2 linked regions of the Drosophila melanogaster genome follow. The protein of the gene in region 1 purifies or fractionates together with the protein of each later gene. This does not show direct contact. Each region holds a gene or a part of one and is shown in the gene's direction. Other genes may lie near its edges.

Region 1 (6,679 bases):
TATGGGAGTTGGAAGTTGAAGTTCGAGTCCAAGGCAAAAGTGGAATCGATTAACACAACAATGCTAACAACAAAAGAGAGAGTCGGCCCGAGCAGAACAAACATACTACGAGCCCAACCCAGTAAATAAGACGATGAAAACTTTCCTGTCGGCACGTGATAACTTGGCCCATACCAATCGAATCGATGGAAAATCTTGGCCGTGAGTCATGCATGCAGAGCCTGAAAAGCGAGTCTCGGGAAAATTGCACTCGACCAGACAGACAAACCGCAGACGTCTAATAACTTCCTTTATCTCCAGCTTGTCTCTTTCTATGGGGTAATTCGTTGTTTGCAGTTGGTTTTCAATGTTTGTTGGGCGTGCTAAACTCAACTGCATCGATGGTTTTTCGAATTCGAACGTGACCAAAAAGAAAGTGACCACTGAACGGATGGAAGGCTCTCCAGTTCGTATGACGCAGCAAAATCAGCGTACTCTGGCTCGACTTGGGTTACATCCGCTCACCGGCCGGCGGTTCCAACATTTCGATTTCGGACAAGTTTCACTTGCACGGCAAAAAATATGTGAGAAATATTCCAAAAGTCAAATACACTAAGAAAACGAGATCAAAGATCTGCTGGTACTACTAATTGTCATATATTGCATATGTTTCTTGTATCTTTGATCGTATGTAGAAACCATCAATCAGTTTTTAAACTGACATTTCAGCTGCTTTAAAAATCTGCTTGTCAGTAAAGAAACAAGACCTGTATCACATTGCACTTTAGTTTCCTGTGCACTGCAATAAATACTCGAAAACAAGCTGAAAATCAACGGCTATGGGTGAGTTGCAATATCAGCAATTACGGCGACTTTTCAGCTGGGACTGCACATACTCACTCGTATGAGCGATGAAATAAGGTCAGTTGGGTAATGGTTATACCTTAAACGTGGCCGCCGGCCAAATTGAGGAGCCAAGAAGAATGCAGTTGCAGTGGCAGTTGAAGTTGGCAAAACTGCACTCCAAGCTGAGAGTGGGGCTTTCTTCGATCCGCACTGGTCATTTCATATCCATCTACAACTCGAACTCCCTGAGCCGCGGATGACTTTCTACTTTATAAACATAAATTTCACATTAGGCACAGCCAGACGACCGCGTGGTGAGTAAACCGTGTCTGGAGCGGCTTCTGACTTTGAAATGGGGATTCCCTCGCCCCGAGAGACGCCGAGGAGCCATCAAACAGCCAAAACAGCTACCAATTGGCCACACACTGGTAATTAATTTTCACATTTTCAGCTTTTCACCGGCTAAGCGGGGGAAAATCTCTCATTGTTCCGCTTGGCGATCAGCGGAGCTACATGTACATGTAACCAGCTTGTTATGGTTTGTTTTGGCCAACAAAGTGGAACCTAAAGACTTTGGTGCCACTGGCTTGATTAACACGTTCGTCGTTTCTCAAAAAAAGTTGCTAAATTTCAGCCACCACCATTCGAAACTGGTTCCTACATTTCAGAATTATGCGGAAATGGCGTTTAAAGTGGCTCTTGTTCCATGTTTTTATTCCAACTTTTCGCCTTTGCCCATTTCTTTGGGTTCGGGTTCCCCCCTTTATACAATGTGTTTGTTTTTTTTTTTGTCCAGGTGTGATGATCGTTTCTGCATATATTGTGTTCCAAACAGACGATTTCTTTTCTCCTCCCAGCAGGGAGAACCGCAAAACGGAACGGGATTGAAGACACGGAGAACCGGCAAAATTTTACTTTTTTTGCGGTCAGTTACTCAATGTATTGACAGCCGTTCCAGCTGCCATCCATTTTGGGAGAAGTCCGCTTTTTTCAGCGCTTACTTTTTGCGAAAGTTGCTGGTGGTGGATGCCACACAGCCCCTTTGAAGAGTCTTCAATCCGACCCGATCCCATCCAGAGCTGGTCCGCTCACTCATCCACTCGCTCGTGGGCCGCTGGTATGTGTCTCTGTTTCCCTACGTTTTTTATTAGATCACGATTTGGATGTTAGCAAACATTCGCGCATACCAAGCTGCCAACCATGATCAACGGGCCCAAACAACTACAATGGGGGTCTATGCATAATCGCAGCTCACAACGAGATTCTTCACTCGGCTTTTGCCTACGAAAAAGTCAGGAGCGGCTAGAGGTTCTATCTAATATCAGGGATATTTCAAATCGTAAGCTAATCTGAATCAGCTCTACTGACTCACACTCTGCAGTGTGAAATATGTGAACCATCTGTTCATAACATAACTTTTGGAAATATTACAATCCATCTTCCAAAGTTCGGCCATAAATTTCCCTTTTTCCTGCTGCTTTCCGAGCGCCCTATTTCCATGCCCTTCATCACGAAGGCCGCCTCTGCGCAGCCGCAGAAGTTTCGTTTCAGTAGAGATGCTCGTTTGCCTCAAAAAAGAAATATAAAAACAAAACCCAGCAGAAAAACAAAAAACTGTGCCTCTTTCTGGTTTTTCACGTTACTCGGGCGCGCAGTTGTTGTTGCAGTTGCAGTTGCAGCAGTTGTTGTTGCAGTTGCAGTTTTCGTACGCACGTCTTCACATTGCCAAGTTATGCATGTGTGTGTGACTAGCACACTGAGAAGAAATTGCGTTAAGTTTCTAAAATATTTCAGAAACCATTTCGAGTTGAAGGTTATCCAAAAGTATCAACTATTTTAAACCAATTTTAAACCTAAGACTACAATGCTTTTGTGACAAGTTTCTCAAGCTATTTTCCCAATTATTTCTCCAAGTGCAACCGTACAAGTATGCGATTGTGAATGTGTTTCTGCACTTCGCTATATTGTGTCTAATGTTGCATAGATACATATGTATATATTTTTTGTAGGTTTTCACGTTTTTATGTTGTTTGAACTTTGTTGTTTCAGTTGTTATTGGAGTAACTGCAGTATGGTTGTTGTTTATGGCTGCCTTTAGAGTCGTTTTCCGACATTTAAAATGGCAAAAACGGGGCGCAGTTTTGTCGTCTGACATTTACTTCTGCCGTTAAGATCGAATTCAAACTGAGGATTTGCAAACTCTTGCTTTTTCATGCGTTATTTCGCTGCTTACGTTGGTCGAGAACAGGTTTCGGTTTTAGCTGTTCCTCCGGACTATTGTTGTTATTTTAATTTACTACTATTGTTCGCGAGTTTGCATTAATTATTAAAAATCGCGGGCAAGGAATTCGAATTCGATCCGCTTCTTCCGAAGAAACCAATAAAACTGAACCGTCGCGTTCGGCGCTGAGAAACGAACTGAATCTTTCTTGGCATTGGGAGTCTAAGATACAGACACACAGATACTCACATTCACTTGCGTGCCTGTGTGAGTGGGCCACCGAGAGAAAGAGGGAACAAGAGAGAGAGAGAGAGATGGAGTCCAGGTGAGAGTTCCCGATCTTGGCCCGCCTTTGATAAGTGCAGCGAAAATTGTTGGCATTTCTTTTCAATCATTTAGCTCGATAAACAGTGCTGCATTCAATGTCTTTCCCTCAAAGAATTACTGAGATTTCTCCACTTATCTATCTGATAGCCTCGAGATCTGGAGAAAGACCCAGAGAAAAGTCGGGGGAGGTTTCTTAATGCCTCTTGTCTACCTGCAGGATGTTTGCCGCATTCATTGAACTGCTTTCTTTGTGCAAGCAAATGTCAAACCAAATGTTTGGTTTTGAAATAGCTAGCCGACATTAGAACTCTAAGATAAATGTGGAAATACACAGAAAATATACGAAATATCATATCATCAATATATATCATAAAGAGAAGAGTGGTTGTAGTTAACTAAATCAAAACCCATAAATTATATTGATTGCTTTCAATAGTGAAATACCGACGATTTGGCATTATATTAATTTTTTCCGAATTTATATTTTCAAAGCGTTTAAAAGTCCCCACAGCACCTTATCCACCTCAATTTCAAATCGACCGCGCAGCGAACTCAACACGACCGTTCATCGTGTGGCATATCTCCCATCTATAGCAACCACCTTCCCCGATATCAGCTGACTTATCAGCTGTTCCGTACGGCAATCCGCAGTTGGGCACGCACTCACGTAGCGCTACAGTCAGAAAACCCATGTAAAAAGTCCCTTATAACTAAGTTAATAAATAAATAAACATAAAAGTAGAAAAATGAGCCCCTCAATCAGCGCGGAAGACAAGCTAGACTATGTAAAGAGCAAGATTGGCGAGTATCCGAACTTCCCAAAGGAGGGCATTCTGTTCCGGTGAGTTATCGTCACTCGAGGTTATTAGATTGGAGCACTAATAGTGCTGCGATGATGATTATGGGCGAGCAAATGGACCCTTATCAGGTTGTTAATGTGTAAAATCATTTGTTTTCATATTAAACATCAGTGACATATTCGGAGCCCTCACCGATCCGAAGGCATGTGTGTACTTGCGCGATTTGCTTGTTGATCACATCCGGGAAAGTGCTCCCGAGGCGGAGGTCATCGTGGGACTGGACTCGCGGGGCTTCCTCTTTAATCTCCTCATAGCCACCGAGCTGGGCCTGGGATGTGCTCCGATTCGCAAGAAGGGCAAGCTGGCGGGAGAAGTGGTTTCCGTGGAATACAAACTGGAGTACGGTATTGTGAGTACTCCCAAATATATTACTTACTATTCCCAAGCACAAAGATGTTTATGCTTTCAACTTAATTATCCCAGGACACCTTTGAGCTGCAAAAATCCGCCATCAAGCCCGGCCAAAAAGTCGTTGTCGTTGACGATCTACTAGCCACAGGTGGTTCCCTGGTGGCCGCCACTGAACTCATCGGCAAGGTGGGTGGCGTTGTCGTGGAGAGCCTGGTGGTCATGGAACTAGTTGGACTGGAGGGTCGCAAAAGGCTGGATGGAAAAGTGCATTCCCTCATTAAGTACTGAGAGTTAATCGAATTGTGACGAAGCCTTCCACACTTGCATTTACCTATTCAACTAGCAAATTTTTATAAAAACTAGACAGACGCATATTTTTATAACGAAATATATTTGGCTCTGATAACAGAATCGTATAATCTCTCAATGAAACATAGCTTATTTTATTTTGAATAATAATACATGGGTTGACTATTACGGTGAAACATTTGTATAAGCAAAAAGTATGTAAAACAGCGACAAAAGCAAAAATAAATAACGAAACTTGGATATCGAAAACTATTTTTGGATAGTTTTCCGAACATAAATTAAATAATCTATTTTAAATTTTGGTGTTGTTATAGGGTTTTTAGGTATGTATATATTAAAGAATATATTACTTAAAAAAAGTGCACATGAAAATAATTATTAATTTAACTTTTCCAGCTATTTACGTACATTAAATTTTCTTTAATTATTAGCAATCCAAAAAGTATGCTTTGAAATATGTTACGTGAGTAAGAAGCAACAATGCAAACGGATGAAATTCAAACCAAGATTAACGGATGTCTTTAAATGGGTAAACATTTTTAACTGCTTAAAAATTATATCAAAAATATATTTTCTAAAAAACGATTTTCTCTCTCTGCGCACTCACTGCACTCTCACCTCCCTCTCTCTCTCTCTTGGCACATTCACTGATTTCGTCGCTCTCAAGTTTACCGTTACCGGCGCCTTTGCTCAGCGATAAACAAAAATTGTTGTGCTGCGTTAACCCAGAATTCGAGGAACTTCCGCCCCCGCCCAGCCCGCCGATAAACAAATCACACCAACCCAACAACCCCCCGAAAAGACACGGAAAAATAGCAACAAACCGAGCGCGCAAGGAAAAATCAAGGAATCAAGGAGCGGAGAGCCAGAAGGAAGAGAGAATGGAGACTGGCAAAAAGCGAAACTGCGCAGCCACTGCGCTGCCGACGTCGCTGCTTTCAGCCTGTGCTCATTTCGCATTTGATTTTGATTTCACTCGTGAAATGTGCGTTGTGCGGTGATGACGCTAACGGTTGGTGTTTGTTGTTTAACCACACACCCCCCTATTCACAAAGAAAAAATAAATAAGAAGAAAATTATTCAAGCACGCCTGGAGAATTGATATTGATTGCGCGCTTTTCCTCAATTGGCAAACAATTGACTAACAACAACTAAAAAGTGGCTCTCATCCCGCATTCCGCGTGTTTGTTGTTGTTTATTGTTGTGAAAAGAGAGCGGAAGGAAGAGTGGAGAGAGCGGAAGGGCAGAGAGAGGGCACAGGCATAGAAAGCACGGCAATTGACAGCACGTTACGTATACGCCTCTTACGCCCCGCATTTAGCATTTGTTTGCCAAGTTTGCTGTGTGCTTGAGTGTGTGTATAATTATTAAGAAACAATTACGTGCACGGTGCCAAACAATTAACTCGATGACCCAAAGTGCAATAAAACCCCCACTGAATCATGAAACTGAATACAAAAGTTAAACTCTGAACATGAATGGTGAAAAGAGGCAAAAAGCATGAATGTACAAGCAAGCTGGAAGTGTTTTTTTTTAATTTAGTGAAAATTAAAGTTTCGCTTAAAGATAGCATGGCAACATATGTATGTAGAGCATAGCCCATGTTTGAAAATATGAGTGTTATAGCGTGATAAGAACCCTGCAAACAAATATTTGAATGCGTGGAATGTGACTATTTATAAGAAGTTTAAGGTCAGCAGAAATGACGTGAAAATCAAATAAACGAAAAAGCCAGAGCAAAGTAAAAGCTGGCAAAAATGAAAATAAGCAGGCATGACTTTATAAA
Region 2 (6,872 bases), on another chromosome or scaffold:
GTGTTACAATTTAATTCACCAACTTATTTAAGTTACCTTAATTATATATGTATGTATTTTTAATTCCAGCTTTTTGAATATTTTTGAGTAATAACCACCCTGTCTTTTATTTCGCGCCCAAGCTAAGCAGAAAACAGCTGATTTGGCCGCATGCTTTAGTCTTGCAAATGGCGTTGAATACTGCGGCCAATTGTTTAAATTGAGGGCGACAATTTAATCTGTACCGTCATGTCGAAACCAATTACCTTTGTCACCGGCAACGCCAAGAAGCTGGAAGAGTTGGTTGCCATCCTGGGACCCAGTTTCCCGCGCACCATTGTGTCAAAGAAGATTGATCTTCCGGAATTGCAAGGTGAATAACAGCCATCATCTGAATGATGTAGTACTAAAACTACGTATGTTTAATGTCAGGCGACATCGACGAGATTGCCATCAAGAAGTGCAAGGAGGCAGCGCGTCAGGTGAATGGACCCGTGCTGGTGGAGGACACTAGTCTGTGCTTCAATGCGCTGGAGGGCTTGCCGGGTCCGTACATCAAATGGTTCCTGGAGAAGCTGCAGCCGGAGGGGTTACACCGTCTGCTCCATGGTTGGGAGAACAAAAGCGCTCAGGCTATTTGCACCTTTGGCTACTGCGACGGTGTGGATGCCGAGCCTCTAATCTTTAAGGGCATCACCGAGGGCGTTATCGTCGAACCTCGCGGCCCCCGGGACTTTGGATGGTGAGTCACTTGCGTAAGAAGTCTGATAAAATGGCTCTTGCTTATTAAATTCTCTATCATTGCCGCAGGGATCCGGTTTTCCAGCCCAGTGGCTACGATAAGACCTACGCCGAACTGCCCAAGTCCGAGAAGAACACCATTTCCCATCGCTACCGCGCTTTAGCTCTACTGCGGCAGCACTTCGAGAAACAGGACAAGTTAATAAACTAGGACTCAATTTAATTTAATTATTCAATTCAATTATTTAAACATCGCATATTTGTTCTACATTGTCGAGAAGTTGTTGCAACCTATGTTTCGAGTTCAAATCTCTCTATGTATATCTGTTTCTACTTTTGTTACTTCTATCCGCACTGCTTAGTCATCCTTCTTGGTCTTCGGCTTCTTGGCCTTTGAATCCTTCACCTTGACGCCAGCGGGTTTGTTCCAGTAGTAGATCAGCTGGCCCAGAATAACCGAATTGGCAAAGGTAGAGGCAATGAAAGTGAGGATGATCATAAAGTCACCAGTCTCCTGGATGGAGGTGAAGATGCGGGCCACCGATCCTGCAAACATCATGATCACAGTGGCGGCTGACAACTGACCAGTGGATCCAGCCTGGTAGTTGGTATACGCCTGAGACAGCTTGCCCACCAGCAGGATGGGAATGTTGCAGCTCTGGATGGTGAACAGCACCGACATGGGCGTTAGCCCCGAATTGAGAACATACATCAGCACGACATATCCCACTAGAAAGAGTCCCGACTGCGCCTTGCGCCCGTTGAAGAACAAGACCAAGACGGCGATTGTGACGGTCTGGATGGCCAGGAAGGTACTGTCGCCCCAGGCACTAAACGGATAGCCATGCATAAAGTTGTACGACAGGTGGAAGGAGATGGCCAGCAAGTCCAACACTACGCCCACAATGTTGATGCCCTCGCCAGACTTGCTGTTAAGGATCTTCAGCACTTGTGGTACTTTGACCAGCACGGAACCTGCGATAATTGCCAATCCCAAGCCCTTGCTCAGCAAAGCCTTGAAGCACGGAACTACGAGAAATGTTAATTGATACTTAATAGGCACATACCTTTTTGAATTAGCAGCCACTCACCATCTAAAAAGTTGTGATAGAGGAAGTAGTTATCATAGCACTTCTCGCTCATAAGGAACAGAGCACCCTGCCTGATAAGATCCGTCATTTTTGTGCTGCGAACAATTGACTTCTGTTTATCTCGGAGGTCGTGGTCGTACTTAATTAGTAAGCGGCGCTGGTTTCACTATGCACCGGTGTTATCAAGCTGGCCGGCCGGTCGCTCCGAGAATGAAATTGAAAGCCGCCGTTTACGCACACGTAATGCGGGTTCCGCCGAAGAAGATATTGATGCCCGGTGGCGAATCGGCTTGGGAGTGGAGGAGGAATGATAAGATAGGTGGTTGTGCCAACGTTATGTTATTTTCGTCCGGCTTTCGCTGAAAGGTATGCGCTAAAAATCGCTACGTGGGTTTTCCTGCTACTCAACACTGCCACAAAGTGGAACAAAATCGAAAAAAAGTGCAACATTGGCAGTAAAGTAAATAAAGTGTTATTCAACCAGATTTGGTTTTAATTTTAAATTTGCGCTGAATTCTTATTTAAAATGTTATTCCATACATAATTTGTTTTTTGTGATAAAATATTTACTTTTTGCTTATTGAAAATAATTTAGGCTGTCTTAAATAGATTGCCCCACTGTCCCGTACAAGTGCTTCGATTGCGATGTATCGATAACCAATCGATTATTTATTCACCTCTACCTGAGTGCTGTAGACAAAAGTTTGTTTATTATCCGGGCTGCGTCGGCGTGAAAATTAAAACTAGCGTCAGTAAATGCTAAATACCCGGCTAATTGCTATGTCGACTTCCGATGGGGCCCCGGAAACCAAGAAGCAACGTCCTGAAAGCAGCAGCAACGGCAGCAAGGACCAAAACGGAACGGAAGCCGGCGCCGAAGGCGACTCCCGTGATAAAGTGGCGCTGATAACAGGCATAACGGGCCAGGTGTGTAATTGATGAATTAGTCACGGCTGTTTCAGGGGCATCTCCTTCATTCCGTGCTTACGTGTTCAAAGTGCTCGATTCTTACTTGTTCCCTATCGCCCAGGATGGCTCCTATTTGGCAGAGTTTCTGCTCAAGAAGGACTACGAGGTGCACGGCATTATTCGGCGGGCCAGCACCTTCAACACCACCCGCATTGAGCATCTATATGCCGATCCAAAGGCGCACAAAGGTGGGCGTATGAAGCTCCACTATGGCGACATGACGGACAGCAGCAGCCTGGTGAAGATCATCAATATGGTGAAGCCCACGGAGATTTACAATTTGGCAGCACAATCCCATGTCAAGGTCTCCTTCGATCTCAGTGAGTACACGGCCGAGGTGGACGCCGTGGGCACGTTGCGCATTCTGGACGCCATCCGCACTTGTGGCATGGAAAAGAACGTGAGGTTTTACCAAGCCTCCACTTCGGAGCTATATGGTAAAGTGGTGGAGACGCCACAGAACGAACAGACGCCCTTCTATCCCAGGTCGCCATATGGTAAGGCAGCAGCTTCGATAATGTATGCTAAAAGTAATACTTAATCCCACCTAACTTTAGCCTGCGCTAAGATGTACGGCTTTTGGATCGTCATCAACTACCGGGAAGCCTACAACATGTACGCCTGTAATGGAATCCTCTTCAACCATGAAAGTCCACGACGTGGCGAGAACTTTGTGACTAGAAAAATCACCCGTAGCGTGGCCAAGATTTATCACAAGCAAATGGAGTATTTTGAACTGGGCAATCTCGACTCAAAGCGCGACTGGGGACATGCCAGCGACTACGTGGAGGCCATGTGGATGATGCTGCAGCGGGAGTCTCCTTCCGACTACGTCATAGCTACAGGCGAAACGCACAGTGTGCGCGAATTCGTGGAAGCCGCGTTCAAGCATATTGATCGAGAGATAACGTGGAAGGGCAAGGGTGTGGACGAGGTGGGAGTGGAGAACGGCACGGGTATTGTGCGCGTCCGCATAAATCCAAAGTATTTTCGGCCGACGGAGGTCGATCTGCTGCAAGGCGACGCGTCCAAAGCCAATCGAGAGCTAAACTGGACGCCTAAAGTTACCTTCGTGGAATTGGTTAGCGACATGATGAAGGCTGACATCGAATTAATGAGGAAAAATCCAATCGCTTAAGGCCTACCTGGCTTCCAGCTCGGACTGGGATCATTTACGGCACAAAGCTCTCTGCCCGCTTGCGGAGCTATACACTAACCATAGTCTAAGCGTAAAGTGATCAGCGTAGTTGATTTGTCAATGTATTTCTGTATTCTCGTGGGGATTTGCAATCATTCCTTTTTCTACTTTGCCGCGTACGTTCATGTTCAGTGTGTGATTCTACTTGTTTTTATACAGTACCAGATGTAACGAATATTTGAAATAAAGACGTTCGAGTAACAACGTTTTAATACCTTCAAATTGTAACGAAATGTTTCCGAAGTTATGTTTATTCGTTCGAGGCTAAACACATAAATCAAAAACAAACGCGGACAGCTTTTCTAGGTTTCTTTCTTGCCGAAAGGATTGATTTTAGACAGCCAACTGGAAGAGGGGGAGGATTCCCTGGAATAAATCATTGGTTAGGAAATTCATTACAGAAGTATTTGTGACTTACAGCTTTGTAAGCGCTTCGATATCCGAATCCTTGTGTTCGACCGACGATTCTGCTGCTAATGCATCCGGCTTCTCCAGCTTTCCCGCTTCGCTGATCCCCGCCTGGCGCAGCTGCTCGATAAGCTTTCCGCGGAACTCCAACTTATGCGGCACCACCTTTTCCGCTTCGCGCAGCTGCTTTTGCAGCTTGCGTATGGCCTCCAAATAGGTATGGCCGTACCAATCGATTTCCTCGGGCGTATATGGTTCCAGATAGCGGCGGTATTCCTTAAGCACTTCCTGTTGGCGTTCGGGCTCGTCGGCGAGGGCTGGAACACCGTTCTGCAGGGCCTGAAGCACCTCTCGCTTGAGTTTCAGAGCCAAAGCGGAGCGAAGATCGCAGGCACGATTCTTGAGGAGGTAGTGATCAAAGCCATGACATTCATGGATCTGCTCCAGCGTGCGTTCCGTCACCACCACGGACATGTAGCAGTCCAGCACATGACTATGGACCACCGAACGCCTAAGATTTGGTACCCAAAAGTGCGGCACGCGACGCTTTGTTTGCTCGCGTTTCTGAAAGCCCTTGATCACGGCCTCGCCACCCCAGATGCCACGGTGCGATTCCGGCGTATCGATCAATGGCAGCGGGATGTTCTGCACCGGCTTGATGGCGTGCGTCACCTCATCTCGTTCCCACTGCTGCTCCTTGGGGATATAATGGACCGCAGCCGGGGTCGTCAGCTTCCACTCGCGCCAGAACTTCCTGTACGCCTCGGGCAGCTGGGCTCCCAGACCCTTGTCAAAGCGACCCGGACGCTTCCATCCGTTTAATAGCTTTACGCCCTGCAGAAGGTTTAAACGCTTTGTTATTCCATGGGGTTTACGAAAGTTAACGCAGCTATTGCGTCACAGAAACGCGGCGCACTACCAGTTTCCTCTTTATTTTTGAGGCAATCACATACCTGTGGCGTGGCGTGTGCCATTTTTTAAGGAACGAACTAGCAGTTTACTGTTATTATTCACTATTAAAACTATAGTGGCAGTTTAAACTTGGCTATTAAACTATATTTTCCCTGATTTTGGCTAGGCCAACGGCGCTCTTCCTCTTCCTGTTTGGAAAAAACAGCTGTTCGTATGTGAATGGCTGGCAGCCAGGGTTGCCAGGTTTGAAAAGTATTTCGGAGACAGAGCTTCGTTCAATTTAGTTTTGTGAAATTTAGAAATGCTCGGCAAAAAATTGAGTTTCGAAGTAGTTCAACTTATTTATTATAATCAATATATGAAACAGTGCGCCAAGCCATACTCCGGCATAAGTACCATTCACGAGTAGCAAGAAATAAATTTATGCTGTCGGCAATTAAAATCGAAAAGCGGCTTACTTTCGCTATCAGAATGTAACATGTAAGTTACTAATGTATTAACAATTAAATATCCTTGAAAGAAACGCGATTTATTTTGACTACGTATAAAGCTTTTAGCAAATGCAATTAATTTTTTGGAAATTCTCACGCGGTTAGCCCAGCCTTGTTCAACCTGGCCTTAATCGTGTTTATCTTGAGCGGCAACAGCTGGAGCATTTCACGCACAACACCAATCTCGCCCTGCAGCGTCTCGGCCGCCTCCTTGTGCAGCTGGCAACCAGCATCGAATCTCTGGTAGTAGGTGTGGCAACTAGTTAGGTGCTCCAGCTGCTGGAGCGGATGGCCACTGATCAGCTTGTAGTAGATGCGACCGATGTGGAAGTGGGCGTAGAGCATGTGGCGTTGCTCCTCCACGTCCATGTTGGGTCGCCATTCCTCGCTGGGCGGTTTGACCAGATAGGATTTGACATAGCTCTCAAAGTGCTTGATGGCCTTCATACAGCTCTGATTGACCTTCTTGATGTCCTCCGGCGCTGGCGTGCTAGTGGCCCGAATGATGTCGAGACGGACATCCATCACGGCAGCATGAGCTGTGCCGGCTCCATACCAGCATTCTCGGCATATCTTCATGTAAAAGATGGGGTCAAGCAGATCCAAAAGATCTTCCAGATACTTGGCGCGACGCTTTTGCATCTTGGCCTGGTTTTCTGGATTCTCCTCGAAGAAGGCAATGTGCTCATACGCTTCGGCGTAATCCTGCATTATCTTTGAATACTCAGTAGCTTCGTTCTCGGCCTTGTAATAGTCCTTGGCTATGTCGAGCCACTCGTTCACAAAATGAAACACCAACTTGGCATCGTCGAAGGTCAGGCAGTATTCACAACTAATACGATTTTCACACGCGGTGAGGTCAAGTCCAGGAAACCGGGACTGTTCCGCCTCGACCAGCCGCATATTGCGCAGAACGATCTCCAGGTTCTTGGCATCCTCGTCATCTTCGTCCCGCATCAGCCGAAGCTTGGATGTGTTCATTAAATACAATCCATATTTGGCCCAACAGCGTGCCACATCGGCGTAGCGATGTTTAAAGGTCTCCGACACGTCCTGGCGCTGCTTCTCGCTCATCTCCGGCTC

Evidence for each region. The genes of interacting proteins can lie anywhere in the genome.
Region 2: the proteins of Aprt (region 1) and Gmd purify together in Drosophila melanogaster (affinity purification with mass spectrometry, with the first as the bait; one large-scale study listed by BioGRID). This does not show direct contact.

What each region holds. Positions count from the first base shown.
Region 1 is NT_037436.4:1,882,226-1,888,904, reverse strand, and holds Aprt (adenine phosphoribosyltransferase), read left to right. Parts: upstream 1-3,885; 5' UTR 3,886-4,119; coding exon 4,120-4,214; intron 4,215-4,344; coding exon 4,345-4,582; intron 4,583-4,656; coding exon 4,657-4,872; 3' UTR 4,873-5,013; downstream 5,014-6,679.
Region 2 is NT_033779.5:4,972,625-4,979,496, reverse strand, and holds Gmd (GDP-mannose 4,6-dehydratase), read left to right. Parts: upstream 1-2,473; 5' UTR 2,474-2,567; coding exon 2,568-2,738; intron 2,739-2,841; coding exon 2,842-3,277; intron 3,278-3,337; coding exon 3,338-3,918; 3' UTR 3,919-4,197; downstream 4,198-6,872. Other genes in the region: CG8891 (uncharacterized protein), read left to right, coding at 229-352, 412-721, 790-931; CG3792 (uncharacterized protein), read right to left, coding at 1,079-1,749, 1,812-1,899; mRpL28 (mitochondrial ribosomal protein L28), read right to left, coding at 4,281-4,344, 4,397-5,220, 5,340-5,360; CG14043 (uncharacterized protein), read right to left, coding at 5,883-6,872. UniProt on the Drosophila melanogaster protein: Catalyzes the conversion of GDP-D-mannose to GDP-4-dehydro-6-deoxy-D-mannose (also known as GDP-4-keto-6-deoxy-D-mannose or GDP-4-dehydro-alpha-D-rhamnose), an essential step in the synthesis of GDP-fucose from GDP-mannose.